Linked DNA regions of Xenopus tropicalis. The protein of the gene in region 2 purifies or fractionates together with the protein of the main gene of each other region. This does not show direct contact. Links are inferred from orthologs where the notes say so. Each region holds a gene or a part of one and is shown on either strand. Other genes may lie near its edges.

Region 1 (4,044 bases), on a different chromosome or scaffold from region 2:
CAATGGTTGCAGCAGACGTTCAGATATTCTGTAAGTCCATAAAATGTCACGTGGCAGACTACTCCGCAATTTTACTTTTAAGAGCATTATTATACATAGTTATCTAAGTGGATTTCATTAAAAATGGTTGAAAACCACCCCAAAATGATCTGCGATTTAATGTATTTGTGATTTCATGTCTTTTATTTGCCCTCTTTCAGACTTTTTATACGTACGTTGGCTCTGTTGATTGTGGGAGACCACCAAAGTGTAAATCTTCTGTTTGGTATCTGGTTTAAACCAGAACGCTGAGCATTGGTCAGTTTCTTCCATTTCATTGATTCTTCAAAGCCGCTGGCCTTTTCCCTGGTAAATGTGAAAGTACATAAAAATAAGACATATTTAATGTTTGGAAGAAGGTGTTCAAGGCCATGAGGGCTTTTTAAAGGACAGCTCAAGCCCATAATGGATTACACGATCCATAATGTTCCTAAAGCTATATAGACCTACAAGATTGTTTTAAAGGCTTTGAAATAAAGGCTTATTAAATAATAATGTATTAATATAACAAGTATTTAAAGTGATCCAGAGATTCCTTACCAGAAAAGACCCTCCCATGTGGGAAAGTAAGTGCCTTTAAATAGCGTGTGCTCCAGTATACCCTCCACCCCTCCAAGGGCCTGAATCATATCTGTGCGGTAGTTGTTCAGATTCCATAGCTTTCCATCATGACGCTGATGTGTCCACCAGAACGGGTTTTGTTTCAGCACCTGCAGGATCAAAGAACATTAAGTTCAGTCGATGTAGGAGCACCACATGCAGTAATACAACGAATGCTAAGCCTATATTACCTGGTACTGTTTAAAGTCTGTGCGAACTCTCCAACCCTTGTCATAAGCAAGTGTGTGCCGATCTTTCTGAAACAGTGTATTAATACGTGGAATTCCCCTGTCCCATGAGTCTTCTAAGTCTTCAAGCGTCAGGCGTCTTAAAGAGAGTGTTGCTCACATTAGTGCAACTTTCACAAAACAGTATATACTTATGCTGGCAATCAGGGTGGGACATATTACCTGTTTTGAGCAATCGCCTCCTGCCTCTTTAAGGCATACTCAGCCCAGACTCTCTGAGAGTCTATAAACTCACTTTCCCAAGGCTGAATGTAACGATACAGATTAGGAATCAGTTGATCCTCCTCGTGACTCATGCCAGAACGGAAATGGGTTATGCCAACATCTGTCTGCTTAGACCACCTAGTAAAAAAAAAAAAAAAAAAAGTTAAGAGGTGAAACAAGTTACAGAATAAAAAAAAGCTACTTATGCTAATACTGAAAATGTAAGATATTTTACAATACCTTAGGTCAGACTGTGGAATTAAAACATGTCCCATGGACAACATGCCCAAACCTCCAAGTTCCTTTGGTGTGTAAAAAACAACAGGCGGGAACCTGCTTGGCATTTTAGAGTTCAGCCCAATCTTTATTCTTGTTTGGATTTTGTTCTCACATTTCACCAGCAGATCAAGTAGTTCTTGGGTGTTGACCACAGCCTCACGGAAATAAGTCATTAGGCCAATAAGTGCTGTATTCCACTTGTTCACAATCTGGAAGTTAAAAACTGTATTTAGATACAAGGTATTATCTAAGCAAAAAAAAATGTTGAGTTTCCAAAATATCTTATTTTCTTATTATATCAGGTAACACAAAATCTATGCATTTGCAAAAACACTGGTCTATTTGCTTTGTGCTTACTTTTGTAAAGGTTGTGGACCCGGAAGCCATAAGAATTTGACGGACTCTGTTGTGAAATCTCTGCATGGACTCGTCATCAACTCTTAAGAAGCACTGAGCTGTGCGTTCTTTGGTCACCTAAAATAAAAATATTTTATTAATCTCTTATCTTAGGGTAAGGGTAATAAAGGTAAGCTCTTTTGTAGCAACCTAAGCGTCTTTGTGGCAACTTACTTCATTTTGCAGGTTCCAGACACCATCCTTGTGCGTAAACTCTTCATAGCTTGTGCGGCATTTGGGAAGTATGCGGCATTCAAAGCCGCACATATTAAACAGCAGGTTTGGATTGTCTTTACTGTACACAGACACAAAACTGTTCTCCCACTGCACAGTGGTGACAGAACGAGGCAGTCTATTTTTTATATCCCAAAACACTGCACGGCCCCTGAAAATAAGATAAATAGTGAACACTTGCTCCTTTTACCAAGAGGCTTGGGTTGTGGATTACAGGATAACTACTGCAGGACACTTATAAAAATGACTGGCCAAGGCTTGCATAAAGGACTGTTAGAGTAATGGGGGGTGGGGGGAGGGGTAACAGACTTACAGATTTACATCATGTTTCATGAGGCGCATTCTGGCATCCCTTGGCCAACACTTTTTATTGTTGTAGCCCACAATATTCTCATTATTGGGATCTGGATGTTCTGTTAAATATCTCTGAATAAGGTCTCTGGCTTCATCAGCTGAAAATCTACAAATAAAGAAAAATCAATCATAAAATGAACTAGTGTTTGAAAAATAGAAAACATTTAATGCCCACTGGCCGATGGACATCAGTTAGCCAAGGAGGCCTTAAATGTTTGATCACAGATGATCAAGTCTTCAACCAAAAGTGTCTGAATACCCTCTGTTCCCTGAAAGAAGTCTCAAGAACATGAAGCATTCCCACTAAGACCCCATTCCAGGAGTAAAGACTTAAGTTCACATAAGATTCAGAAAGTGCTTCTATACTGTAGTCTCAGGCTAAATTAAGCCAGGGATAAATTACTTGCCTGAAAAAAATGTGAATGCGGTCAATGTATCGACAAAACAGGCGGATAGGATGGGCCGATTCTGTTGCCACATCTTGGAAACTTAGAAAGTCATTTGGCATTTGTGGTGGCCCAGCCATTTCACTAGCTCTGTGTAAACCAAGAACCAGAAGATCCATCACCAGACCATAGTACTGGACAATAAACGAAGCAAACTGGAGACCACGAATAATGCCATAGGAATTTGTGTGGTTCATATCCTGCAAAACAAAGTAAAACAATAAGATTCAGCTTGTAAGAAGACTAATGTAAATAAATGTATATATACTTGTAACATTTTATGAAAGCCTCAAGGTGGAAGAACCAGTTTGCAGGGATTGTTTTTAGACACATATTACCAGCTGGAGTAGGCTGCTATACCCCTTATCATTACTGGCAGCATCCGGGTGTGCACTGACCTTGTAATTTATCACAACGTTGTTTTTTGCAGTCATGTAATCAGCAATATTGTGATCAACAATTAGACGCAGCAGACGATTCAGCAGAGTCAAGTCAATCTTTTCATACATCTTTTCAAAGCGTGACTCCAGCATCACATTGCATTCACCTTCTGTGGTGTCCCAAACATCCTGCAGGTTATTTATGCCTAGAATGAGACATCCAACAAAATTAGAGCAGATAGAAAAATCCCTGAGAATGAAGCACAGACCAGTATTACTGCAAACCATTTGTTTCTCAAAAGGTCAAGACCTTATGTGCAATAGGAATTCTGATAACAATAACGTAGTCCCACCCAGGGATACAAACTTCTATTATTAAGCAATAACAAAATTATAGCTAGAATTTTAAGAACATTTTGTGGCTTTAGAAATTATGCAAATGTATTAGTGCACGGGACAAATGCATCAGATACTATGGTGCTTATGACTCCATCAATGCTTCATTTTGCCCCTCCGTATATTGTCTGTCCTTATGTTGAACATTGCCAACGTACATGAACAAGTACTAAGCAAGTTATGCACAACATTACTATTCAAGTGGCAGCTGAGCCACTAATGAATCAAAAGGTCAAAAAGTTGGTTATACATTTACAGTGAGGTAAATATAACTATTAAATGCAAAGTTTCAGTAATGAAGGCAGGAACAGACCCTGTCAAAGACAAGCAGATAAAAAAATGTAAGCCATATCCATAAATGAAACTGTTAAAAATTAATGAGATGCCATTAAACAAATGAATCACTAAAAAATATTGATATGCGCAAACCTTGGCACCACTTGTAGACCAACAAGGGAGGTGGCTCTG
Region 2 (4,704 bases):
TATGTAAAAATGGATCCATATTGGGGGATTTATATAGCTTCCTTCCACATAATATCGAACTTATTCGCTGCACAATGATTAAAGCACATCTAAAGATAGATAATGTAGACACACATGGGGCTCAAGCCGAAAAAAAAAGTCTTATTTTTTTTCTTTAATCGAACCCTCTCACAATCTACTAACAAACTATGAACATGCACAAAGTGAAACTGGTTACATAATTAAACTGGGTAGAAAAAAAACCCCAAAGTCCATCAAGTTTAACCCCTCCAAATGAACGCCAGTGCATATATATTGCTACTGCTGCCACTATTAGAGAAAAAAAATGAATAAAAAACAAATACTACTGTACATAAGGTCAAAACCTTGCCATATTTAAGTATTATGTGGTTATGTTTAACATCATGATATCAAAATAATTTCAGTAATTTTCATATTCTCACTTATGATGCAATAATGTATCTGCAGGAAACAGTAAAGATATATCAAAACCTCTATTAGGTTTCCATAATTTTGCCTCTGCTGAGGCAAAGAACACATGTATAAAACAATATATACTGAGGCAAAGAACACATGTATAAAACAATAAAACAATATACCCAGCAGATTTACCCTTTACTAATTTAAACAAGTAAAAAACCTGATACATTAAACACTAACAATACACTTTACCACATGGCTAATGAATACAGTTACGCTTTGTAAATCTATTTATTAATAATCAGCTGTGCAATACATATGTTCTATTTTTTTTTTTTTTAATCTACACCAACACATTTTATAGACAGTAAGGAGAGAAAGCACAAAGTGAAGGATCCAGATACTAACCCACTCATCTTGCAATGATTTCAGGATTGCTGGAATACTGGTTGCAGAAGGTGGTTTAGGACGAATTGGATGGGCTACTGTAAGAAACAGGATAAAAGACCCTTCAATAAACTAATTGAAGAAAAAGTAAAAACATCGCTCCATTCTTTGCTGTGATTAAAGAAGAATTAAACTTAAAAAATGTTGTTCTATTATCTGTTTAGACCACTCATGTGTAATTTAGAGTATAAATGGATACACAGCACAATCTATTTATTCTTATGTAGATCTACTAATCAATTTTTTTTTGCGACAGGTCTAGGTATTATAAATATCTAAACTTGTTACCAGTTTACATTTTACATACAGTAGCTCAAAGACAGGTAAATAAAGACAAAATTTAAATAGTCTGTAATATGACCTATATGTAAGGCCCAACCACGATATAGAAGTTCCCCTTTTTAAGTCTTTTGACACAGTCAACCAAAATAACATTAAGAGTTTTGTAAAAGTATTTCATAGAACTGTGTACAAAAAGTGCAATACAAAAATATGTGGATCCATATATTATAGGCTAATTAAAAGCAAGAAATTGGCTTACTAATGCATAATTCAGTTATTTTTCTTCTAAAAATCTGTAAAATTATGTGTATTCACTTAGTGAAGTTTGGGAACATACACTAATTAAAATGTAAAATTTGGCTTTGGAAGCAATGTGCCATCTCTAGCTACAATTAGCATTACTGTGCGTTGTGCAAACGTAAAATAATACCTTTAAATGACCCAACAGAAATTATAGTTTTTTGGTTTTTTTTTGTGTTAGGTATGGCTAATTTTTTTTTTGGGGGGGGGGGGGGGTTACAGGTGAATGACAAGTAAATTCCCTATACAGGTATGGGACCTGTTATCCAGAATGTTTGGGACCTTGGATTTTCCGGATAAGGAATCTTTCCGTAATTTGGATCTCCATAACTAAAGTCCACTAAAAATAATTTAAATATTGAATAAACCCAATAGGATAGTTTTGGCTCCAATAAGGATTAAATATATCAAGTACAAGGCACTGTTTTATTAATACAGAGAAAAAGGAAAAAATTAGAATTATTTGCTTATAATGGAGTCTATGGGAAACTTTCTGGATAAGGGATCCCATACCTGTACCATTAAACTGAACACAAAGAAAAATAGCATTAGACGTTTTCACAGCTCTACTGACCTTTAATGTCAATCAACTGATCCTCACTTAAGGGCTGATTTGTTACTGGATCTGTCCCATTTTCAGCCAAATACTTTTCAATAAGGCGGCGATCAAAAATATGACCCGACACCGGGGAAATGCAGGGGCGATCTGTGACCTCATTACTGACTACAGGCAAATGAGAAAAATGTGAATTTTTATAAACATGTTTAGATTATAAATGGCATAATTGCTTATAAGTCTAAACATAGGTTTTAAATACACATGTACTGTCAAATACAATTATGTCCTAAAATTCAAGTGGTAGGAACAAAAGCATTAAGTATTTAGTACCTTTCATTAAAGTTGGAGTCTAACCATTTTATACATTAATGAATTAAATGTTTTGTATGCAAGCAAAGGTACACAAATTACAATCTCTTACATTATATTTCTAAATCATGGTCACAATACCATATTTCTAACAGAGCTATCCCCAGCTAATAACCCTGCTTGCATTTTCTGAATGCTTTAAATATGACTATACATCAATGTATATACAAACCCTGTCCGCGCTCCTGAATCAATGTCAATACAATTAATTTGGATACTCTGAGTATACTAATGTGAAAAAGCAAACTTGAGGGAAAAAAAAAATACCACTTATCTATATCAATTACTTTTAAGTGAACTATAATTAAATATATCTTTGAGCTGCCTTCCTCTACCTAATCCTTGTAGTGATTAAAATCTTAACCCCAAAGAGAGCGCCAACTTTTTGGGGCATACATCAATGTATACAAATCATACATCAAGATATTACAAAAAATATTAACTTAACACAATTAGCAAGCTCCAGATACAATACAACTTTTGTTGACATAAACACAAATTTAGGGAAAAATATTTTCTACTATTAAATAACTTGCATTGAATTTCTATATATAGGACCTGTATACCAAATATCGTATCAAATGACACGTTGCATCCACACAGCCGATGCTCAGCAACTTTATACAAGCATTTTATGAATCCGGTAGTGCTATTCTACTGCTGTTTTATGTTGCACTCACTATAACATGTCAAAGACATCTTCCAGGTATCTCTTTGAGCAATATGGTTAGGCGAGAAATAGCGTTGTTTTCTTTTTAGTGATGCTGTTCAGCTAGGACTCCCTGTTTTCAGACTTAAATTGGGCAGGCCCTTTGGCGGGCTATCTCCGTTCTACCGAGGTAAACTTGGAAACAGCGTGTAACCAGCGTCGGCAAAGTACTTCCGGTTTTCTTTGTTTCTACATCCGCTCTACAGCTAGACGTTTTACGTAAAGCAATGAAAGAAGAGATAGACTCGGCGTAGTGTAGCCGGATGTGTACAGCTGCAGTTCCTGGCAGCACTGAAGTATTTCACAGCGCTTTGTGATTATCATACGTGTCAGTCTCTTCTTTAGTTGTGTTTACTATCTAAGGGCTTCCCCACATATATGCATGTTTGGTGCTATTTATATTAATTTATTATCTTTATCAATTCTTAGGCTGCCTTTAGAGTCGGCAACCTGAGGGTAAACGGAATACATACAAGATTTGCATAGACAGACTACCTGATAAGTTATTTAGGCGAAAGCCTGCTGTTAGCAGTCTAAAACATCTATCTCAGAAATACCTCCCAACATTTGAAAAGTAGAAGGAGGGACAAATATTTCAGGACACGCCCACTTTATGGCCACGCCCCCCAACCAGGCCCATTTTACAAAACCACACCTGAAAAACATAACACACACAAAGTGCACCAGAAGATAGGCATGGTGGCCCCAATAATTTTATGACATTTATCACATATGTAGCCCTAAGAATTTCATTACGCACTGTAGCACCTGTATATCATGACATTGGTAGCCAGGTGTTACGTTTTGCATTGGTGGCAGGGCAGGGACACCCTAAAACATTGCTAGCCAGCCCAGGGCCCCCTTAAACATTGCTGGTCCTCCCCCATTGTCCCCATAGTATGGGTTGCTCCCCACTGCAGCATCCTCCAGCTCCCCCCAGCATCCTCCAGCTCCCTCCCAGCGTCCTCCCCTGCATCCTCCAGCTCCCCCTTAGCATCCTCCAGCTCCCTCCCAGCACCTTCCCCAGCATCCTCCAGCTCCCTCTCAGCATCTTCCCCAGCATCCTCCAGCTCCCCCTAGTATCCTCCAGGTCCCCCCAGCGTCCTCCCCAACATCCTCCAGCTCCCCCGCAATGTCCTCCCCAGCATCCCCCAGCTCCCACTTAGCATCCTCCAGCTTCCTCCCCAACATCCTTCAGCTCCCCCCAGTATCCTCTAGCTCCCCCCAGCATCCTCCCCAACATCCTTCAGCTCCCCCGCATCCCCCAGCTCCCCCTTAGCTTCCTCCAGCTTCCAGCTCCCTCCCAGCATCCTCCCCAACATCCTTCAGCTCCCCCCTAATATGCTCCAGCTCCCCCGCAACATCCTATTCAGCGTCCCCCAGCTCCCCCTTAGCTTCCTCCAGTTCCCCCCCAGTATCCTCCAGCTCACTCCCAGCGTCCTCCTCAACATCCTTCAACTCCCCCGCAACATCCTCCCTGCGGCTCCCCCTGCTCCCCCCCCCACCCGCCTGCTGCCTCTTGCTGCGTCCCCCGGCTCTTCTTCTCCCCATGATGTCACACTCGCGTCTATCGGGAGCACCGCAGCTTCTGCAATGCATTCACATAAATGTTAGAATG
Region 3 (4,597 bases), on a different chromosome or scaffold from region 2:
AATTTTTTGAGATAGGAATTTTGGGTTTTCATGAGCTGTATGCCACAATCATCAATATTAAAACAAGAAAAGGCTTGAACTACTTCAGTTGTGTGTAATGAATCTAAAATATATGAAAGTCTAATGTTTATCAGTACATTACAGAAAATAATGAACTTTATCACAATATGCTAATTTTTTGAAAAGGACCTGTATGTGAAACAAGGTCTCCAGTGTAAGCATTACTTACAATACAATTGGTTAACTACAAAACTACAGCCAATTGCTCACTATAGGCAGGATGCTAGCCAAATAGTTACAGTAAGGGCAAAAGCAAAACATGCCAGACTTGGAAAAGACCGGCTATTCTGTAGGTTCTAAGTTATATTTTTATTAAGGTTTTTTGTGGACAATTTCCACTCCATAATTTTGCCCTGCAATACTGAAATATGACAAGGGTGTTTTTATGCAACTACGACAGTGTACAACAGTTATATTTTGTGCAATACTTACTGGTTAAACAGCATAGATAGCATTAGCTCATTTGTTTCCTCTGGAAGGTTGGTGAGGAAGAGGATGTGGTTAGGTGGGTTTTCAGAAATCTAAAAAAAAATAAAAAACAGCATTCAAAGTTATGACTGAAAAACTCAGACACAGGCAGTTTCTGTGGACAGCTCTTGAAAGACACCAGGTTTATTGGGAGTTGCCAGTATATTAAAGGAGATGTATCCTATAAAAATAATGAATGTACCAGTGAATTTTACTCCTCTAGATATAGAAGGATTGCGCTTAAAAAAGTTGTGCTTCTGGCAGGGACCATTAGGAAACGCCCACTCTTCATTTTAAACATGGTCAGAAGAGAGGATCTATAGGGAGCTCCAATAAAGGGGCCATTTTTACAGATTGGATTAATTTTAAGCACAAAGGGAAACCAGCACCATATATTATTCATAATTGCCTACAATATTAGGGTTTTCCCCATTTATCCAATATGTCTCCTTTAAGCACCGCACCCCCTCCCCCGAAAGCTGCAAAGAATAGTTAAGCTAGCAGACATCAGGTACTCTTTATAAAAGCTAGCGAGACTATCACCCACAGACAGATCTGGTGATGTAGTCTAACTTACTGGCTGCATGGGTGCCATCTGCCCAGGCATCAGGTGTCCATGGGGCATGCCTCCTGGTGGGATCTGTCCTGGTGCCATCCCTGGTGGTGGCATCATACCAGGGTGATGCATGTAGGGTGCCTGCCCAGCCATATGCATCATGCGTGGAGCTTGAGTCATACCAGGTATATTTTGCATGCCCTAAAAAATAAATAAAATTATGGCTGTGCACAACATAACGGGTTTCTTTCAAGAAAAAAAAAAAATTGTATGTATTTACCGCCATCTGTCCTGGAACGCCTGGAAGCAACGCAGCACCTGGTAAAGCCTTTTTAACACCCGGAGCTTCCTGGCCTTTCACCTTCCTCTTCTCCTGCCTCTTTCTGTCTCTTTCCACATAGGTACCTTTCATTTTGGCAATGATGTCAGAATCGGATTTTGAATATTGTATTCTCTGGAGTAAAAGCAAAATCAGCATAAAGACTAAAATAACCAAGTTTTAATGGAATGGGAGGAGATACTGTATGGAAACTGAACAGAATGTATCCACCACCACCCTACCCAACTTGGCTTTATAGTTCTTTTTTTCTAAAGAAATAATGAGCACAGATAAACAAACAAGCCATATATTTAATTGCACTGGGTGTGGGATTCCTTTAGCAACAATGTGCACAGCTATCCATGCAAACTACCTAAGCAGATGTAAACTCCCACACATTCACAAGTATTAACCCAGGAGCCCTGTAAAAATATTATGAAGGATGGTTATTGAAGATGTTATTAACTTATGTACAATATCCTTTTCAATATGGGAGTGCATAGTTTCTTCTCAACCCCTCAATGAAAATTAGCATACACCCCAAATATGCACGTACAAAGGTATGTTTACTTTATAGGCAGGGGGATTTGGAAAATTGTTTCTAGTCCTTTAATCTGCCAGTAAGATGGTATATACACCCATGTCCTTTCATATAAATATATGGGTCATTCCACTGTCACTGACCATTTTTCCATAAAGTGTCAGATATCATTCATGTCTCTATAACCATAGACTTATCCTAAAAGAACACTTTGAAGTAAAGTAAATGAAAAATGGGAAAAAAACTACAATAAATACTAACCATTGGTTTATCATAAAAGGGAAACCCCTGCATTGACCTCAGAGCATTTGTGGCACTGCTTATTTCTTTAAATATAACAAAAGCCTGTCCTCTCATCTTCAGGCTGCGAGACACCAAGATATCCAGAATCTGACCAAACTGTGAGAATATGGCATAAAGAGACTTCTTTAGCTCTAAAGAGAAGAAAGCAAAAGTCAAATCTTTGGATTTTCAAAGACCAAGTAATTCTAAATAGCACTAAATTGCAGTAATGTAAACACTGGTACAGAGATTTAGGTTGCGCTCCAGGGATTGCTACAGCCTTAACTCACCATCTTTTTTAATTTTCTCATTCAGGTTGTTGATGTAGATTGTGTTATTAGGCCTGACTTCTTGAACAGCCATACTTCCTCAACAACTTAATCTGAAGGGAGAAAAAAAGGGTTAATTGCATCTTAAAATAGAACAATGCCCTGGTATAGTCTGTACATAAGCCCAGTTATGTATGAGCAGAGTGTGCATATAATATACCAGTGCCTATACTACACGCAGACTTATTTACTTGTGCAAACTAAGGTCTACAATATATTTTCCTTTGCGAGCCATATAGTAGTAACATAGTATTATTAGTATTATCAACACCCAGATCATAACAAAACTACACAGCCCCTGACACAGCCATGCAAAGAACACAGGGTAACATTAAAGTTGAAATATCACAGCCGGGACCTGATTGTGAGAGGCCCGTAGTTGTTGTGGCACAGCTAGGAAGCGGGAAGATATAACAATGAACGGGACGGAAGCATACTTACCCTCAGCCTGGATATGATACAGTTAAAAGGGCCGCCAAATTAAACGCTGGGCTTGTGCTACGATACGAATACGGTACGCTGGAAAAGAAATAAACTTCCCGGATGGAACGTACAATAGCAGGAAATATTTCAAGATAGCAACGCAAGTCGCATGCACTAAAACCCAATGTGATTAACTGAGATTGCCGCCACCGGAAGGCCTTGTACCTAAATTCATTCAACGCCCAATTTACGTCTAACTTAGGCCGCGTTGCTACAGCAACTCTCGACGTCTTGCAGGTATATCATTGGTGACCTACCCAAATCTTCATCGATTGGCTGCAAGCCATAAGTGAAAGCCATTTCACCCTATAGCAATAACCCAAAGCAAGCCGCGCGACCAATGAAATCGGAGGCCGAGGCGTAGAACGCGGTGCAGCTGCTAATATATTCCTCCCGGAAACAGGAAACGGACTCCTGCGGCATACGTGACTATATTGTTTTGCTATTGTTGTAGGTGTTCGTGAATATGATTTCATGGCGTTTATAGCTTAGGTGATAGTTTTCAAGATACTATCGTTGGCAATTAAAATGAATAAATTAACCTGTACAGATGAACAAGGGGATACATATATGGTTTAGTACACACGTGGTCAAAGAATGTTTCCGAACTGAAGCCGGATCTGGTAGTTTTTTTCACCAACATGCTATAAAGTACGGTGTCAGATCTTGTTTACAACCTGTAGCTAAATCTGCAATGTAAGGTTTAGAAACGACATATTCCTCAGCGTCTCGGAAAATGTTTAATCTCTCACACAATCCCTCCCAGTAGCAACACAATTTCATCTCCGTGCAATGGCATTACTAGAATTACAGGGACCCAAAGTCAAGTCTTTTTAGAACCCCAAATTTGTATTAAAATGATCTGTTTAATGCGCCTGTAATAAAATAGATTTTCAGTTAGGACTTCCTTGGGGAGTTGATACAATGACCTGTTGCTTTGAATTGCTAGGAAGTGACACCCACAGTTCAGGGTCAGAGTAGAGAATTTAGCAAGGTCAAGATCTATTTTTACAGTAACCAGACCAGGGGCAATGGGTCACTGCAATAGCTTGCATTTTGCACCCCAGTTCTGTCCAAAGGCTGCAAAAAGGTGTTCATAGCACAATTTGCAGGGGCAGGTATAGAGACTGAATTTGCTACTTGAACTGCAAAGCTCAGAATCCTCCTTGCAAGATATTTGCTTGGAATTGTATATTTGCCATAGTTCTGGTGACAATATTTTGATATCCACTACTGAGGCCTAAATATCACATACTAATAGAATGTGGGCTATATAGTCTTTGCCTATATATTGCAAAGTATACTATATAATAATGCTTGAGGAACCCACAGACTCCAGACTGCTCTTCCCTGTACTAATTGCCAGTGTAGTAGTCTGGTTATGAGTAGTAAAGTATCTGGAGTCAGCTTCAGTTTTCTGGTCATTATTATTATTTATATAGCACCATCCCTTTACAGAGATTATACATCACCACATTAGTTCCTGCCACAGTGAAGCTAACAATTCACACACAGCAGGACCAGTTTTATCAGGAGCCAGTTAACCTGTGTGTATATTC
Region 4 (4,537 bases), on a different chromosome or scaffold from region 2:
CCTATTGGTTTGAAAAATCCTAGATTTTCAACTGGATGTATACATTACACCGAGCTTTACAGCGCATTTTTTTTTTTTTTTTTTGTGTGTCACATGAGGTTGAACTCCTGCAATAAAGGAGTATATTTTAAAGTCATACATAGTTCACTGAAAACCTATTCATACCCCTGACTATTGAATAAGAAATCCTGCTCTCCTTGGTTTTTCTTTTAAAGCACTTAATCTCAAAAAAAATTTTTAATGTGACTATTTTGTTAAAATAATATTGTTATATGTTGATTAATACCAACTTTGTACACTGTTCGAAAGTCATTTTGGCCCATTATGTGAAGTAGTTGTGCTTCAGGTTCTGGTAACTGAGATGATCCTTGTCATCGCCGTTTTCAAATAGCATCACAGATTCTCAGGTGGACTGGGACTTGGACTATGCCATTGCTTGAAATTTGGAAGAAGAGCTTTCTCTGGGTCCCCATCTGTTTTGCCAAACACCAGTTGTACTTTTACATGGTTCTTTTGGGGCAATGGCTTTTGTGTCTTCCTCCTATACAGGCCAATGTGTTATGCAGAACCCTTGATATGGCATGTCAATACCTACATATACAAACCTGATCCGCGCTTCTAAATAAACTAGTGATTAATTACAAAATGTGCTTTTTCCATTCATTAAAAAAAAAAAGGGTTTACCTCTGTGAGCTATATAGGAAAATTATTATGTAGTTGAGCTGCCCTCCTCTAACTAATCCAAAAAGTGCTCCTTATACTAACCTTAAAGAGTTGGCGCTCATGAAACACTACCAGTAATAAAATCAATCTATTTATTGCACAAAAATGAGAAATTCATATATTAAAAAATATAGGTGTTTTTTACTGATATTTTTTAATATATGAATTTCTCATTTTTGTGCAATAAATAAATTGATTTTATTACTGGTAGTGTTTCATGAGCGCCAACTCTTTAAGGTTAGTATGTCAATACCTACAGTAAAACGTGGGGATATATAGTATAATGTAGTGTAGCTGCTTTTTATCAACAGGGACGGGATATCTTGTTAAACATATATTTAAGTGCAAAATACATGGAGCTGAAACAACTATTTCAGCCTCCTAATACAAATAGATATCCTTTCACTGGTCGTATGTGATTTTCAATAAAGTTGCAAGGAAAAAAATGGTCGACGGAAGCGGCTTATGCTTGTACCGGAAGTGGAAACTCAGGGCCGGAAACTTCGTCTGGAGCGCGTTGTTTGCCCTGCGAGTGCGAACACGGCCGGGCAGCAGAGTGAACCATGGCGGATGTAACAGCCCGAAGCCTGCAGTATGAATACAAAGCGGTGAGTTTGTTAGGGGGAATATGTTAGCAACGAGAAGTGGAGTTGGGAAGATGTTAGCATGAATATTCAGCCTGTGGTTCGCCACGTAGAAGTGCGAGTTGTAGTTCGGCTACAGGTGCGGAGCTTTAGGGTGAACGCGTAGGGCTTCTCTGGAACATATTTAATAGAGTAAGCCAGTGTTCTATTGGGACTCCTGTAATCGCTGAGTCTGCTTCCTTTGTAATTGTATTCTTAGAAGGAATTGAACACAGTGTTGACGTAGCTATTGTTGAATATTAATAGGGGGCCGCCAGTTTGAGTTCTTACACAGTTGCATACAATGCCATAGCTTTAGCTGTTTCATTGCTTGTACTCTTAGCTGCATTACAGTTTCAATATGACACACAGTTGGCAGCCAATGTTTACATCAGACCATAGTTACATAGGGTTGAAAAAAGACCAGAGTCCATCAAGTTCAACCCATCCAAGTAAACCCAGCACACCTAACCCACACCTACCAATCTATACACTCACATACATAAACTATATATACAACCACTAGTACTAACTGTAGATATTAGTATCACAATAGCCTTGGATATTCTGCTTGTTCAAGAACTCATCCAGACCCCTCTTATAGGCATTAACAGAATCTGCCATGCATTTTTAGACACAACAATTATGCTTTCTGATAATGCATTTGATAACTGATGTCTCTCATTACATTATTACATTAAAATTACATGGTTTATATGGCATGCATGCCAGGTTAGAGCTTATAAATATGTATTGGGTCATAAAGAGTACAAGAGAACCCTGATTTTAGTTTTCCAGGGTCAAACTGTAAATCTTGGAAACTGTAAAATTGTGATTCTACTGTAAGAGAGGTAAAGAGAAAGTAACTTAAATTGTCTCCTTATTTCTTTAATGGATCTTATTGCAAAAGTGTGTGTAAAGCACAGCAGACATTATTCCAGGGAAAACTACTAAAAATCTAATTAGCTATAGTTAATTAGAAAACAAATATGGCATTGTGTTATTGGAAGCAAAAAAGGTAAACATGAACTTAATTAAACATTAGCTTCATAGCCCCTAGCTTATTGCACTGAATTCTAATTTATTTATTTATTTTTTGCAATGCAGAACTCTAACCTTGTACTTCAAGCTGATCGCTCCCTGATAGACCGTACCCGCAGAGATGAGCCCACAGGAGAGGTTCTCTCGTTGGTGGGGAAGTTGGAAGGAACTCGCATGGGGGACAAAGCTCAAAAAACCAAGCCACAGATGCAGGAAGAAAGACGACTTAAGTGAGTGGCAGTGCCAAAATGTCTTTCTGTAATAAATGTGATAGGTGTACAGGGTGGGCCATTTATATGGATACACCTTAATAAAATGGGAATGGTTGGTGATATTAACTTCCTCTTTGTGGCACATTAGTATATGTGAGGGGGGAAACTTTTCAAGATGGGTGGTGACCATGCTGGCCATTTTGAAGTCGGCCATTTTGGATCCAACTTTTGTTTTTTCAATAGGAAGAGGGTCATGTGACACATCAAACTTATTGGGAATTTCACAAGAAAAACAATGGTGTGCTTGTTTTTAACGTAACTTTATCCTTTCATGAGTTATTTACAAGTTTCTGACCACTTATAAAATGTGTTCAATGTGCTGCCCATGGTGTTGGATTGTCAATGTCAATGCGCCAATTGTGCATGTAACACTGTGCATCTGAAGTTATAGTAGTAAATATTAGTTTATTCCGAATAAGCTGAAATGGATAAAATAATGACATTCAGGTGAGAATGAATTGTTCTGCACTTTCCTTCAGGTCTTCTGTGAAGTTCTGTTTATGTACTGTATTTATATAGAACTACTTGTTTTTATCTTTAACCCTTATAAGGGTAATATTTTTAAATACCAGCCATTCTTCCAAGGCAATTTTCTTTTGAAGGATATATTTAGTGAAATGTCAATTGTTTGAAATTTCAGAGTAGTGATGATTTTAATTCAAGTACATACAATATAAAACTGCTGTATATTTACCACTATGCTGTAGCCTTATAGAGTATGAATTTGTTAATAAAATATACGTTTTGCCATAAAAGGTTTTGCAGTATTCTAGGAATGAAATTAGAACAGATGCCTTTCAGATTCAGAAAATGTATGTTTATATGTGTTGTGTATATATATAGATGATAGTAACCATTTACTGTACCAAGAAATATTTTGTCCATGTGATTTGATTATTTTAAAGGGGACATATCGTGTAAAAAACAGTATTGTGCCAATGATTTGTACTGATCTAAATATAGAAGAAATGTGCTTTAAAAAGTAGTGTTTTAGGCTGATTTATTGGCACTGGTCATGCCAATGTGTTCCTCTTCCTTCTGCCTTTCCTGGGTTGTGCAGGGGGGCCAGCACACTACACTGTAGGATAGGAACCAATCAGCAGCTAGGCTGACCTGATAGGGAACTGAATCCTGTATTTGCTTGTGTGACTGCAGGGCTGTGATTGACTTTTATTTTTTTAACATACCGGTAGGTTAATTGGCTCTGAAAAAATTGACCATAGTGTGTGAATGGGTCCTTTGGAACCAGGGACTGATGTAAATGATGTATAATTCCTATGTCTGTGTCATGGATATATAAGTAAAAGGATAACAATAAACATTTAAGTAGGACTGAAACAAAGCATGGCGATAATATATGGAATGATAATGTTTCTTGGAATCCTTAATATAAACCCCTGAACTGTGGCTTATTGTCAAGATGATATAGGAAAATCCAGGCAGTTGTAAGCTTCCCCATATATGCTTAAATTAAAGGAGTAGTTCTCCTTTCAAATGCTTTTCAGTTGCTTTCAGATAGTACACCAGAAATGAAGACTTTTTTTCCAATTGCTTTCAATTTTTTTTAATATTGAATTTTACAGTTTTTTTTCACCTCATGTCTCCCTGCAGCAAATCTGCAACTAATGAGTTGATACATTTTACATCTTTGACCCTGCTGAGTGTAAGCTGAGTTTCATTAAAGTCAGCTGTTCTAATTGATACAATAGTTGCTTACATTTATATACTAAAGAGAATCAACTAATGTAGTAACAGTTCTGCACCTGGATTACTGAGCTGACAGACTGAAACACTGGATACATTTAAAGGGGTAGTTTTCATTTAATCTCTAGTATGTTATATAATATCACATTCCTAGCAACATTAAACATTTTCTTC
Region 5 (4,044 bases), about 53 Mb from region 2:
TACACTTGGATTATCGCTTTACATTTCATTCTTCCACCCCCCCCCCCAAACTCACTAAAATGTTGCAACAGATCAGTACACCTCAAATTGCTACTAATTTCAAGTGCTTTCTATTTGAAGATTACGTTTCTGAAGGTGAACGTCTCTTTAAGGGAATGGTGAGTGTTACAAGGGGGATTACTGGAATTCGAGTGCCCACCCGAATGGTTCACAGTTACTTACCTTCTGGAACACAGCCCTTCATTGCAAAGGGCTTACAAAAGTAAAAACATTTTCTTTAAAATTGCTAAAACAAAACTAATTTTTTGTTAGAGAATTAAAAACTTACAGTGCATATCTCTTTCATGTTCATACTCAATGAAGGCATATCCACGGGGTTTCCCAGACCGCTTATTGTATACCATATGAATCTAAAATAGAAAGAAATTACATTTGTAAATGAAAACCGATTGGCGCCCTCGACACACCAATCATCCCATGAGTAAAGCTGTCAGCTAACAGATACTGTATAAGGCCAGAATGCTTTCTAGTTGTCATTTTGCATACATCAGCACAAAATCACCAACCACACACTATTGGACTCTCTGCTTTTAGAATTAGAAAATGAGACAAAACTTTCTAAACTATTTACAGACGGCTATGGAGCTTATGACTTATGCCATAACAGTATAAATAAATGCGTGAACCAGGCCAAACAGGTCATGTAGTACAACTAGAAAAGCTTGTCTTATTGTTTTAAGTGAAGTCAAAAATTTTTTTTTAACACGAACAATATACATACCCGTTTTATAGGTCCATACACCTCAAACTCACGTCGTAGCTTAGACTCTGTTGTATCATAATTCTGAAAAACAAATCATTCGGTTCATGAAAAATGCTATAGGCTTTTTTCCCCCAAAAGGCACCAGGAAAAGTCATATTTTCTGACCAAAACTCTACAGGGTTTAGCACCCCTCCTGTAGCTGAATTGGTGTAAAGATGTCAGGACTTGTTCAACATATAGCGAACCAAAGACATCATACCCCAATGGAGAACAGATTCAAGTATCGTCAGTGATATGCTAGAACATGCTCTAAAGGTGGCCATACACGTTAAGATCCGCTCGTTTGGAGAGTTCGCCAAATGAGAGAATCTTTCTCCCAGTACTCCCACCTAAGGCGGGAGATATCGGAGTAATCCAATCATTCGGCCAAACAACTGGATTACAAGATGGGAATAGGAGCCATCGGAACAAGGACCACATCAATGAGCCGATGCAGTCCCCGAACTGAAGGAAAAAAAAAAAAAACCTGCCCAATTTTCAGCCAGGGGTCCCCATATCGAGCCAAATCGTTTAAATATGCCGATCTATGGCCACCTTAAGACACTTAACTATAATAAAGGTATGCTACCTTAAGAATTTTGGAGCAAAGGTCTGTCTAAATCATTTATATAGCACTTTTCCCCCACAGCACTCAAAGTGCTTTTACAGCCAGCTAGGCAGCTATTACATACACCCTGGGACAGCAAGAGATTAAGTCCAAGGTCACAAGGATTTGCCAAAAGGAACGGAATCAAGGTCTCAAGCATAAGATCCTACATCACAGCCTCACCACTTAACCATATACATAAAAACCCACACACAGTTACCTGCTACCTAAATTTCCTGACTGCTACTACAGTGACTTAAGGATTATTCTGACAAGAAACACAAGAGCACAAATAAAACTTACCACTCTGGCAACAAAAAGGGTTTTGAAGGCATCTCCTTGAGCATTCTGATCATTGTGTGGATCCCCTATCAGGTGAAAAGAACAGAAATTAAAAACAAAATATTTTATGAACGGTCTTCCAAATATGTAATGTTGACTGAAAACATTGACAAACTAAGATAAACTCAATGATACAAACTATACTTTTCCAACTGAAAGACAGCATGGTAAATAAAAAGGGCAGAAAATGTTACTTGAAGTAGCACTTACATATTTTAAGTTCATTCTCGACATCCTGCTGTCTTCTTTCAATCTTCTCTCTTCGCTGTTAAAGTGATTTAAAAGGTTTTAAGGTAATTCACACTACAAAGCAGCTGCAGGGTCATTTTAGCACAACAGACAAGCCTACTATCATTTGAAAAAGTAGAAATAATCGCTGCAAAAAAAAAAAAAAAAAAAAAAAAAAAGGTCTGGCCAAGAGTTTGGGGCCACTCCACAAATGGAATGGTATTTTTTCACTTAACCAGAAAAGATGCAGTCTAATACAGAAGCTTCTGTTGGATGATAAAAGCAGAATCACTGTTCCTGACCACTTTCCCACCTACTATAGTAGAAGAGTGGATAATCGCAAAAACCTCCTGTATCATAAATCCTAGCTTGAGTCATTTAACTTTTATATATTTTGGTTGCTGACAAAAAAAATAATTTGAGCTTCCCAGTCAAGTAATAACTGTTCTTTTAAAATGTTTTTATCCGGTTTAGTAAATTCCAACTGAAGAACCTATATATGGTCCTGCTGCCCCCTGATCAATTTACTATATCTACTAACATCCATATCCACTTTGTAGTTTGCTAAAAATGGAAGCTCTTTCTTTTTCAGTGCAAAAACTGCTCTGTATATAAGAACCTCATGTCTAGTTGATTCTCTAAGCCCCATTTTGAACGTTATATGCCACTTGAAAAAATGACAGTGAATGTTTACAAACTTCTAGAGTTGTGGGCACACAAAGATAACCACAGAAAGAAATGTAAAACATCTATGCTCTCAAAAATACAGTATTATCAGTGAACATCTCACCTTCCTTTCCATCCGCTCCTCGCGGGTTTCTGCTCTAGTTGGAGGTGGAGCATCTCGAGGGTCCTGTGTACAATAACATTTATTATAAGATTTATGTAATTTCCTTTGCAGGTATAAATCATTTAGCGGGTTCATATAGCTGTGTACTCACCTCAAATTCTCTTATGTAAGGAGCAATCCCACAGTATGGCTGATTGTGGTGTTTTTCATGGGGTAGTTTATCTAAAGGAGGGAGGTATGGTACTGGATCTCTAGGTGCAAAGAGCGCCAACAAGTTTGGAGGCAAGAACTGTGTCATCCTGAAGACCTGTATAGAATAAGAAAAAATCAACTGAATAATGTTTACACAAAAGATATTTTAAGAACATTGAAATCATCTTTATGAAAATATAAATAGCTCCTAGGGCCAAATGATCTGATAATGACTGGGATACATGCCACTGGGGCGAGGTCCAGATCAATGATCCGATGCAGTCCTCGTTCTAACAGGAAAATCAACCATGCCCGATTTTCAGCCAGATATTGGCCAGAGAGGCCCATCGGAGAGCCTCATACACGTGCAGATAAACTGATTAATAGATCTGAAGGGAGCTGAATGGCTATCTTTACACTTAATTTTAATAACATGTATTAAATCTCCTCACATTTAATCTGCTCTATGACTTCAGTTTTGCACCTTATTTTAAATAAATTTTCTACTGTTGAAGGAAAAGTCAGTGTGCGCATGATCACAGCTATTGCTCTGTACCCGGAACTCCTCATTAGTCTATGTTTACACTTTTTGCAAGTGAAACGGCACACAGTCCAATCTGAAAGCAGGATTATTCCTTAATTTACAGCGTAAATGTCTTTATTCTGTATTTTTTGATCATTGAGATCTGACCCCCCAGCCCCTTTTTTCAGGGCTATAAAAATGTCATGACCATCCCTAAGTGCAGAGATTTAATTCCTATATACTCCCCATTTTATGATGGAATTAGACGCCAAGTATCAAAAAACAAACACCCCAGGGCAACCAGAGTACATTTCTTGCACCTTTATGTATTAATTGGCAAAGCATACTGGATCATTAAAAGGGGTGGCTCACCTTTAATTTAACTTTTAGCATGTTATAAAATGGACAATTCTAAGAAACTCTTCAACTGGTCCTTATTATTTCGCTTATAGTTTGAATTATTTGCCACCTTCTACAAACTCGTTGTAGCTTTCAAATGGGGGGTCATCGAGCCCCTAAACCAAGAAAACCTACTGCTCTGTGAGGCTACACTTTTATTG
Region 6 (4,588 bases), on a different chromosome or scaffold from region 2:
AATTTCCCACATTTATACAAATACAGTAGGGTCACTTTCATCAGAAGCCTGTTAGCCTACCTGCATCTATTTGTACTGAAAAAGGAGCAATGGCAGAATCCCCACACAAACATGGGCAGAACATACAAAGCCATTTGGATCAGGCCCTGGTCAAAATCAAACCCAAGACATGATCAGACACTTAAGGATACCCACAAATAGGAATTGTAAATAAAATGAAAACTTAATTACAAGAACATATCAGGACAGAAACGCCTATATGTAATAAAAGGGCACCATGTTTGCCGAGGTGCAGTAACTCATAGCAACCAATAAGATGTTTGCTTTCAAACAGGTGACCAGTAAATGCTATGGGTTACTGCTCCTGGGCAAACACAGTGCTTTTACTCCATAACCCCTCTAAAAAGCCTTGTACACTTTATCATGAAAGGCATAATGCTTTTTGTATCCTGACAGGTTAGTGTAATAAAGTCTACATTATAATTTGTTTGTTGGTCTCTAAGTGCCAGCTCATATCCTGGGTTGTCTCCTCAAACAGCAAGTATGGGCAACGTGCACCCAGGCCTCATGTTATTCTTGAGCTTCCACTAAACGGTGTTTTTTTGTATGTGGTCAGAATCAAATCCAAGACAAGGCTCTTGGAAGCAGCAAAGCTAACCCCCCATGCTGCCCTATATGTACCCCATTTTGCAAACAGACAAATCTAACAGATTCAGTTGTACTACAGACTGATATATACGTATAGACATATACGCATCTGCTTATATTCAGGAAACTTGCCAATGTTATTAATAAAGAAGATAGATAACAGACATATTAAACATGTTTTTCCTCAAAAAGTTTGGGCACCCCTTGCCAAATGGCATATGTAATTAAAGGACATGTCATCCCAAAATAAGTTTTTTGCCTAATAAAAGAACAAAATTCTATTCAAGGATTTTTGCCCACGTTTCCTTGCAGATCCCTGCAGAGATATTCTGTGGCCTGTGCTATGAATGTTTATGATCTACCAACAGGCTTGCAGATAAGTCAGGGGATTGTGAGGGCCATTCCAAAACCTTCAGCTTGATCACTGCCTTTTCAATTAGAAAAATTAACTTAATATGTATTTTGGTCAGGGAGGACCAAATGTTTGCATTCAACTGCATGCTGTGTCAGTGGGAGGAATTTAGCATTTGCCCAGAGAGGCAAAGTATCACTCTGTACCCACAGAGAAAAATTCATTATCTTTCTCTAACTTCATTTTAGTATATTCCTGCTAATTTTAGTGAATGTTACATTTACTATTCTAGTACTTTATGTACTTGTAATAACTCTATAGAAGTATGTTCCCCACTTCTTATAATGGTGGAGGGCAAGGAGAATACAGATTCGGGGGTGATCTTTAGGGAATGCCCCTTTGCTCCCCTAGTTAGAGCTAAAAAAAAAAAATTGATCCTATACAGCAAGATTTGGAATAAAGACTTGCTTACTAGCCCAAATATCTATGAAAATAAATATGAAAAATAGTTTTCCTATATCTGTAAAGCTATAACAGGTTTAGGGGCTAGCAGACAAAATGCTTGACCTCAAAAAGCTTTTTTTTAACCCAAAAGGAATTCCCATACTACTTTTTTATGGAATATAACCAACCTTAAAGGAAATCTATACCCACAAAATGAATACTTATCCAACAGTTTATATTATGTTAAGTGAACTATTAAAGAATCTCACCAAACCGGAATATATATATCAGTAAATATTGCCATTTTACATCTTTTTCCCTTGAGCCGCCATTTAGTGATGGGCTGTGTGTTCAATCAGAGATCAGTTGACAGGAAATAATGCAGCTCTAACTGTAACAGGAAGTAGTGTGGGAGTAAAAGGCAGAACTCTGCCCATTCATTGGCTGATGGGGCCTAGCATGTATGTGTGCCTTGGCTTGTTTGTGTGCACTGTGAATCCTATGATCCCAGGGGGCGGCCCTTAATTCTTAAAATGGCAATTTTCAATTTAGGATTACCCAATGGCAAATACTACTAAATAAGTATATATTAATAAAAATGGTTTGTTTAGATGAAGCAGGGTTTTACATATGAGCTGTTTGTGCAATATATTTTTATAGAGACCTACATTGTTCGGGGGTATAGTTTTCCTTTAAGCAACCCTCAGTAGCATCCTGGCTTCAACACATTTCTTGTTTCTCAATGGGACAGATTTTTTTGCAAATATCCTACTGGGGTCAGAATAGGTATGTCAGTGTGGCATGCAAAAATTTCAGCGATTCGTGTTCTCAGGGGGAGGTCTGTAGGAATGATCCCCCATATGTAATAAAAGGCACTAAATTTGCCCAGGAGCAGTAACCCACAGCAACCAATAAAAAGTATCCATTAAATGATACCTGTTGACTGGTTGCTATGGGTTATTGCACCTGGGCAAATTTAGTGCCTTTTATTACATAATCCGCATGTGTTTGTGAAACCCATGAGATACAATAAACTACAGCAAAATACAACCAGTGTAAGTCAGTGGTTCCCAGGCGGTGTTGCTGAAGCTCTTAGGGGGCCCAACTAAAGGGCAGATAGGGAAAATGTGGGAAGAATGTTTTACTCCTGGAAGGCCACTTACTATGACTGATACTCCGGTGGACCCCAGCCTAATGTTTGTTCCGACAGAAGGTCCTGACCCAAACCGGCCTGCCAACCTGCGGTGTAAGTGGTGCCTCAACTGAAACTCAAAGTTTGGTATCTTTCCCTAAACTGGGCTGCCCCTATTTTGCGCTTCATTATATGACGATAAACTGCACTAACGTAGCGCGAATACAGATACAACGATTGCCTACGTGGAATCGCACAGAACGTACGATCTGTAAATCTATCCCTGACAACACCCTCCCTCCCCCGCATCAATAGCTACTCCAGGCCGAGGCCTTTCAGGCCTACACCAGCCCAAACGCAATGTTACACAGCTTACACGCTAACTACTTCCCATACTCACCCACAGAGCCGCCACTCTCCTCTCTCCCTGTGATTTCACTACCCGGGGACTAACGGAGACCCGACGTCAAAACGGAACCGGAAGTCCTACGAGCATGCAGTCTGGCGCCCACTCTGACCCGCATCACGTGTCCGAGAAACCCGCTGCACGCTGGGATTTCTTTTCCCAATAACTTTATTAGCAACGCGCAATCTCCGCACAGATGGGATTTGGCGGGCTGATGTTACCCACGGAATACTATTGCTGAAGCTACAATATAGCCAAATATACAGCATTTAGCATTGTTCAGTACAAATTTTCTTCATAAAAGACTCTAGTAGAGAACTAAGACAATGTGTGATAGTGGCCCTGTTAAAGAGTAGCAAATACTGTCAATTTGGATTCTGGCCAATTCCTATTGGGGTGCTGTGACCTTAAACTATTAAAAAATAGCATTCAGGTTTTGTTTATTAAAAAGAAATCCCCCACAAAAGTTTGCCAACCTTTGGTCTAAGGGGCCCATTTATCAAAGTATGATCGCTTCCAAATACAAAAAAATCATATTTCATACTGTACGTATTTTCACCATTTTTTTGCTAATTTGCAAGACTTTTTTGTACTATGCATCAAAATTTACGTGACAAAACGGTATTGTCGCGCAGAGTACAAAAGTTTCGGATTCATTCAAGCTTCGGTATGGTGACTTTCCTTGGGTCAGGTTGGAGCTGCAGAGTGCCATTGAGCCCTATGGGAGACTTTCCTTGGGCCAGGTTGGAGCTGCAGAGTGCCATTGAGCCCTATGGGAGACTTTCCTTGGGCCAGGTTGGAGCTGCAGAGTGCCATTGAGCCCTATGGGAGACTTTCCTTGGGCCGGGTTGGAGCTGCAGAGTGCCATTGAGCCCTATGGGAGACTTTCCTTGGGCCGGGTTGGAGCTGCAGAGTGCCATTGAGCCCTATGGGAGACTTTCCTTGGGCCGGGTTGGAGCTGCAGAGTGCCATTGAGCCCTATGGGAGACTTTCCTTGGGCCGGGTTGGAGCTGCAGAGTGCCATTGAGCCCTATGGGAGACTTTCCTTGGGCCGGGTTGGGGCTGCAGAGTGCCATTGAGCCCTATGGGAGACTTTCCTTGGGCCGGGTTGGAGCTGCAGAGTGCCATTGAGCCCTATGGGAGACTTTCCTTGGGCCGGGTTGGAGCTGCAGAGTGCCATTGAGCCCTATGGGAGACTTTCCTTGGGCCGGGTTGGAGCTGCAGAGTGCCATTGAGCCCTATGGGAGACTTTCCTTGGGCCGGGTTGGGGCTGCAGAGTGCCATTGAGCCCTATGGGAGACTTTCCTTGGGCCGGGTTGGAGCTGCAGAGTGCCATTGAGCCCTATGGGAGACTTTCCTTGGGCCGGGTTGGAGCTGCAGAGTGCCATTGAGCCCTATGGGAGACTTTCCTTGGGCCGGGTTGGAGCTGCAGAGTGCCATTGAGCCCTATGGGAGACTTTCCTTGGGCCAGGTTGGAGCTGCAGAGTGCCATTGAGTCCTATGGGAGGCTTCCAAAAACATGCACAGAAGGTTCAAAGTCAGGTTTTACCGCCATTTACAATTGTTCGGATACGAAAATTTCGTGACTATCGGATCACAATTCGCA
Region 7 (4,044 bases), on a different chromosome or scaffold from region 2:
GCCTTTAAGAGGGGCCTGGATGAGTTCTTGATCAATCAGAATATCCAAGGCTATTGTGATACTAATATCTACAGTTAGTACTAGTGGTTGTATTTATAGTTTATGTATGTGAGTGTATAGATTGGTAGGTGTGGGTTAGGTGTGCTGGGTTTACTTGGATGGGTTGAACTTGATGGACACAGGTCTTTTTTCAACCCTATGTAACTATGTAACTATGTAACTATTATATTCAGCCACTCAAATTCCAAACTCTTAATCTACCTTGTAGTATGTTTACATTGCTAGTGTTAGGATACCAGATTCTAGTCATAATGAACAGCCACCTGCAACATAAATCTTAAGGTGACCATACACGTTAAGATTTGCGTTGATCTTCTCCCGATATCCCCACCTACGGGTGGGCGATATTGGGCAACTGTAGGCTAATTCAATTGTTTGGCCCTGGGGCCTAACGATCAAATTATAACAACGGCAATGGGCGCAGTCGGTTCGGGGACCGCATCAACGAGCCAATGCGGTCTCCAATCCGACTAAATCTTCTAACCTGCCCAACTGATATCTGGCCAATTTCAGGCCAGATATCGGTAGGACATGCCCGTCGTTCCTGCCCCTACATGGGCCGATAAGCTGCCGAATCAGTCCAACGGACCGATATCGGCAGCTACAATTGGCCCGTGTATGGCCACCTTTACACAGCTGTGTACAGTGCATTAGTTTGGTTATAGCATTTTAGTAGCAAGAAATTGCCACGTTGTGTTTAGCTCCATGGCACTGAACTTGGGTACATCTGCAGATATTTGCAGTAACCACTCAGCCGCAGGCTGTCACATAAAATCCACTAAATGCTAGTACTCCAATAAGCACCAATAGTACAGCATGAAGAAAAAAGCTCCAGGTTTCGGCCCACAACAAGGGGACAGAGCAGAGAAAACAATCAGGTATAATTTAGTTAATAAGAGGTATATATTTATTAACTAGCGTAGATTTTTTGTGAAGCACCAATAAAAACATCTAGTTCTGTAACTGACCTGGTGTGTCCATAATATTGAACAGGTAAGACTTCTCCTTGGTGTCTGGAACCACAATTGTCACAGGTGTACTCTTCATACCAACTCCTCTCTAACGGAAGAAGATTAATCTGGCATTATCTTGTGCAGGTGCACTTAGATATGAAGTGCCTAAACACAAACTCATTATCTAATGAAGAGTACAGCAGCAGAGGAAAAGACTTACGAAGGACAGGAAATTGCTATGAAACGAATACTGCTCAGGTTAGTACATGGCAACATTCCAGTTTGCTATGGCCTATAAAGAAAAAACTAGACCAGTGGTTTCCAAACTGTGGGGCTGGCCCCCACAGAGGAGCATAAAGTAGTCTGACATCAGTAGTAGGAAAGCTTTTGGAAGGGGTAATAAGGGATAGGGTACTTGAATACATTGCAGTTCACAATACTATTAGTTTGTGCCAGCATGGTTTTATGCGTAACAGATCTTGCCAGACTAATTTAGTCGCCTTTTATGAGGAGGTGAGCAGGAACCTTGATGCTGTAATGGCAGTTGATGTCATCTACTTGGACTTTGCCAAAGCGTTTGATACAGTAGCTCACAGAAGGTTAATGAGCAAATTGAGGAATATTGGCCTAGAACATAATATTTGTAATTGGACAGAGAACTGGCTGAAGGATAGATTAATGGTAAATGAAACATTTTCTAATTGGACCAGTGTTGTTAGTGGAGTACCGCAGGGGTCAGTCCTTGGTCCTTTGCTTTTTAACTTGTTTATTAATGACCTGGAGGTGGGCATAGAGAGTACTGTTTCTATTTTTGCTGACAACACTAAATTGTGCAAAACTATAAGTTCCATGCAGGATGCTGCCGCTTTGTAGAGCGAATTGACAAAATTGGAAAACTGGGCAACAAACTGGAAATTGAGGTTCAATGTTGACAAGTGCAAAGTTATGTACTTTGGTAGAAATAATATAAATGCAAACTATCTACTGAATGGTAGTGTGTTGGGGGTATCCTTAATGGAGAAGGATCTAGGGGTTTTTGTAGATAACATGTTGTCTAATTCCAGGCAGTGTCATTCTGTGGCTACTAAAGCAAATAAAGTGCTGTCTTGTATAAAGAGGGCATTGACTCAAGGGATGAAAACATAATTTTGCCTCTTTATAGGTCCCTGGTAAGGCTTCACCTTGAGTATACAGTGCAGTTTTGGGTCCAGTCCTTAAGAAGGATATTAATGAGCTGGAGAGAATGCAGAGACGTACAACTAAACTAGTAGTGGGGATGGAAGATTTAAGCTATTAGACTGTCGAGGTTAGGGTTGTTTTCTCTGGAAAAAAGAGACGCTTGCGAGGGGACATGATTACTCTGTACAAGTACATTAGAGGGGATTATGGGCAGATAGGGGGTGTTCTTTTTTTCCATAAAAACGATCAACGCACCAGAGGCCACCCCTTTAGATTAGAGGAACGGAGCTTCCATTTGAAGCAGCATAGGTGGTTTTTCACGGTGAGGGCAGTGAGGTTGTGGAATGCCCTTCCTAGTGATGTGGTAATGGCAGATTCTGTTAATGCCTTTAAGAGGGGCCTGGATGAGTTCTTGAACAAGAATAGTATCCAAGGATTTTGTGATACTAATATCTACAGTCAGTATTAATGTTTGTATATATAATTTATGTATGTGAGTGTATAGATTGGTAAGTATAGCTGTGTGTGCTGGGTTTACTTGGATGGGTTGAACTTGGACTCTGGTCTTTTTTCAACCCTATGTAACTATGTAGTGGCATAAAGATCAGTTAGGGTAAAAGTGGAGGAGAATGGCAATTTTCTCTCCTAGATGCTCCCTGAAGTCCAGCTAGAGAGTAAGGATGATGGCTTATTTGCAGAACGACATGATGACCAAATGACTAAATAATGGATGTCAAAGACTGAAAACCTCTAAATTAGGTCTGAACCAGGTCATAACAGCACTGTAACCACTCCCTGAATAAGGAATCGTTTCAAGTTAAAATCTACTTTTTAACTTGTGCATTTGTAGCTCTATACGAGTATAGCACAATTGTTTGGGTGTTGCATCACCTCTTCAATAACCTAACAAGCATTGGCATGTTAGAGATGAAGTAACATGACAGCTACAGGCTGCCTTTCACTACATTAGACCATCTATAACAGTAGTACAGTACCGCCACTTACCTCCTGCTCGGTAAAAAGAATATCTGTGTAGCAAAGCTGAAAGGGAACAACAGCAGATCAGTAGGATTGAAATACTGGAGACATCTCTGTCTGTAAGTTTTCAAACAAACAGCAACGAACTAAATAATTTTTTCCTTGCCATTAACAGGGGCCAGACAGGAAAAAAAATCTGGATTACTCACATCTTGGTCATGGCGCTTGCGGATCTCTGGGTGCGTTTGCTCAATCAAACAGTCCACAAAACAGGTCTGGGTAGAAAAAGAAATGTAATGTCAGATGTTACCAACCGCTATATAGCAATAAGAGGGGAGACACCCTGATAGCAATATATCTTAATGTGACATTACAGTAACAATGACCCAGTAAAAGCCCAGCCCCCGAGTGACAAACACCAGTGGAACACAGCTATAATGAATAGTGGCTATCAAGCGCTTAGCAGTTATAGCCATTATCATCATCAGGACTAAATTTTGATCTTTGTGTATCAAGTGGGACAGTTTTCACCATCCATTCTGATTCCATGGTATGCCTTGTTAGTCTACAGGCTTTTAAAGCTGCCGGCCCTTTCAGCTTTTTAGTAGGAACATTTTATTTTAAACCACGAAAAGGAGCCTACACAGAACTGGGCAGCTTTCAGAATTGATGGCACTATGTACCCTACTTATTAGAGAGGCACTTGCTTTTTTTTTTTTTTTTTTTTTTGCTGCAATATAAGATCAGTAAAACATACTGGAATAGGTTATTCTGCACAGTCCATCACAATACCAACTTCTTTAGATATACCGTATATAAAAATATATTTTCTGTTGTGATGTAGATAATTTTTGTTTGTTTTAAAAAAAAAAAA

The links.
Region 1: the proteins of prpf19 (region 2) and prpf8 purify together in Homo sapiens (affinity purification with mass spectrometry; 5 studies listed by BioGRID and IntAct, with this or other methods). This does not show direct contact. The link is inferred for Xenopus tropicalis from reciprocal best matches to the Homo sapiens genes PRPF19 and PRPF8.
Region 3: the proteins of prpf19 (region 2) and snrpa fractionate together in Homo sapiens (co-fractionation; 3 studies listed by BioGRID and IntAct, with this or other methods). This does not show direct contact. The link is inferred for Xenopus tropicalis from reciprocal best matches to the Homo sapiens genes PRPF19 and SNRPA.
Region 4: the proteins of prpf19 (region 2) and snrnp200 purify together in Homo sapiens (affinity purification with mass spectrometry; 3 studies listed by BioGRID and IntAct, counting the BioPlex papers as one, with this or other methods). This does not show direct contact. The link is inferred for Xenopus tropicalis from reciprocal best matches to the Homo sapiens genes PRPF19 and SNRNP200.
Region 5: the proteins of prpf19 (region 2) and snrnp70 fractionate together in Homo sapiens (co-fractionation; 3 studies listed by BioGRID, with this or other methods). This does not show direct contact. The link is inferred for Xenopus tropicalis from reciprocal best matches to the Homo sapiens genes PRPF19 and SNRNP70.
Region 6: the proteins of prpf19 (region 2) and prpf3 fractionate together in Homo sapiens (co-fractionation; 3 studies listed by BioGRID, with this or other methods). This does not show direct contact. The link is inferred for Xenopus tropicalis from reciprocal best matches to the Homo sapiens genes PRPF19 and PRPF3.
Region 7: the proteins of prpf19 (region 2) and eftud2 purify together in Homo sapiens (affinity purification with mass spectrometry; 3 studies listed by BioGRID and IntAct, with this or other methods). This does not show direct contact. The link is inferred for Xenopus tropicalis from reciprocal best matches to the Homo sapiens genes PRPF19 and EFTUD2.

The regions. Positions count from the first base shown.
Region 1 is NC_030678.2:45,530,322-45,534,365, reverse strand, and holds part of prpf8 (pre-mRNA-processing-splicing factor 8), read right to left. Parts: coding exon 4,006-4,044; intron 3,387-4,005; coding exon 3,199-3,386; intron 3,001-3,198; coding exon 2,762-3,000; intron 2,461-2,761; coding exon 2,314-2,460; intron 2,152-2,313; coding exon 1,941-2,151; intron 1,845-1,940; coding exon 1,728-1,844; intron 1,580-1,727; coding exon 1,332-1,579; intron 1,230-1,331; coding exon 1,050-1,229; intron 967-1,049; coding exon 831-966; intron 750-830; coding exon 580-749; intron 346-579; coding exon 216-345; intron 1-215. UniProt on the Homo sapiens protein: Plays a role in pre-mRNA splicing as core component of precatalytic, catalytic and postcatalytic spliceosomal complexes, both of the predominant U2-type spliceosome and the minor U12-type spliceosome.
Region 2 is NC_030683.2:60,626,021-60,630,724, forward strand, and holds the start of prpf19 (pre-mRNA-processing factor 19), read right to left. Parts: upstream 3,206-4,704; 5' UTR 3,077-3,205; coding exon 3,058-3,076; intron 2,174-3,057; coding exon 2,024-2,173; intron 906-2,023; coding exon 829-905; intron 1-828. UniProt on the Homo sapiens protein: Ubiquitin-protein ligase which is a core component of several complexes mainly involved pre-mRNA splicing and DNA repair. Required for pre-mRNA splicing as component of the spliceosome.
Region 3 is NC_030684.2:78,498,159-78,502,755, reverse strand, and holds the start of snrpa (U1 small nuclear ribonucleoprotein A), read right to left. Parts: upstream 3,231-4,597; 5' UTR 2,997-3,230; intron 2,936-2,996; exon of another isoform or gene 2,914-2,935; intron 2,609-2,913; 5' UTR 2,590-2,608; coding exon 2,517-2,589; intron 2,379-2,516; coding exon 2,206-2,378; intron 1,539-2,205; coding exon 1,365-1,538; intron 1,286-1,364; coding exon 1,106-1,285; intron 582-1,105; coding exon 493-581; intron 1-492. Other genes in the region: UPF0692 protein C19orf54 homolog, read left to right, coding at 3,589-3,661. UniProt on the Homo sapiens protein: Component of the spliceosomal U1 snRNP, which is essential for recognition of the pre-mRNA 5' splice-site and the subsequent assembly of the spliceosome. U1 snRNP is the first snRNP to interact with pre-mRNA.
Region 4 is NC_030679.2:125,100,043-125,104,579, reverse strand, and holds the start of snrnp200 (U5 small nuclear ribonucleoprotein 200 kDa helicase), read left to right. Parts: upstream 1-1,193; 5' UTR 1,194-1,286; coding exon 1,287-1,331; intron 1,332-2,453; coding exon 2,454-2,617; intron 2,618-4,537. UniProt on the Homo sapiens protein: Catalyzes the ATP-dependent unwinding of U4/U6 RNA duplices, an essential step in the assembly of a catalytically active spliceosome. Plays a role in pre-mRNA splicing as a core component of precatalytic, catalytic and postcatalytic spliceosomal complexes.
Region 5 is NC_030683.2:113,685,220-113,689,263, reverse strand, and holds part of snrnp70 (U1 small nuclear ribonucleoprotein 70 kDa), read right to left. Parts: intron 3,077-4,044; 5' UTR 3,068-3,076; coding exon 2,921-3,067; intron 2,833-2,920; coding exon 2,770-2,832; intron 2,017-2,769; coding exon 1,962-2,016; intron 1,778-1,961; coding exon 1,713-1,777; intron 845-1,712; coding exon 782-844; intron 411-781; coding exon 329-410; intron 1-328. UniProt on the Homo sapiens protein: Component of the spliceosomal U1 snRNP, which is essential for recognition of the pre-mRNA 5' splice-site and the subsequent assembly of the spliceosome. SNRNP70 binds to the loop I region of U1-snRNA.
Region 6 is NC_030684.2:127,698,234-127,702,821, forward strand, and holds the start of prpf3 (U4/U6 small nuclear ribonucleoprotein Prp3), read right to left. Parts: upstream 3,137-4,588; 5' UTR 2,977-3,136; intron 1-2,976. UniProt on the Homo sapiens protein: Plays a role in pre-mRNA splicing as component of the U4/U6-U5 tri-snRNP complex that is involved in spliceosome assembly, and as component of the precatalytic spliceosome (spliceosome B complex).
Region 7 is NC_030686.2:17,869,919-17,873,962, reverse strand, and holds part of eftud2 (116 kDa U5 small nuclear ribonucleoprotein component), read right to left. Parts: intron 3,446-4,044; coding exon 3,380-3,445; intron 3,234-3,379; coding exon 3,198-3,233; intron 1,120-3,197; coding exon 1,029-1,119; intron 1-1,028. UniProt on the Homo sapiens protein: Required for pre-mRNA splicing as component of the spliceosome, including pre-catalytic, catalytic and post-catalytic spliceosomal complexes. Component of the U5 snRNP and the U4/U6-U5 tri-snRNP complex, a building block of the spliceosome.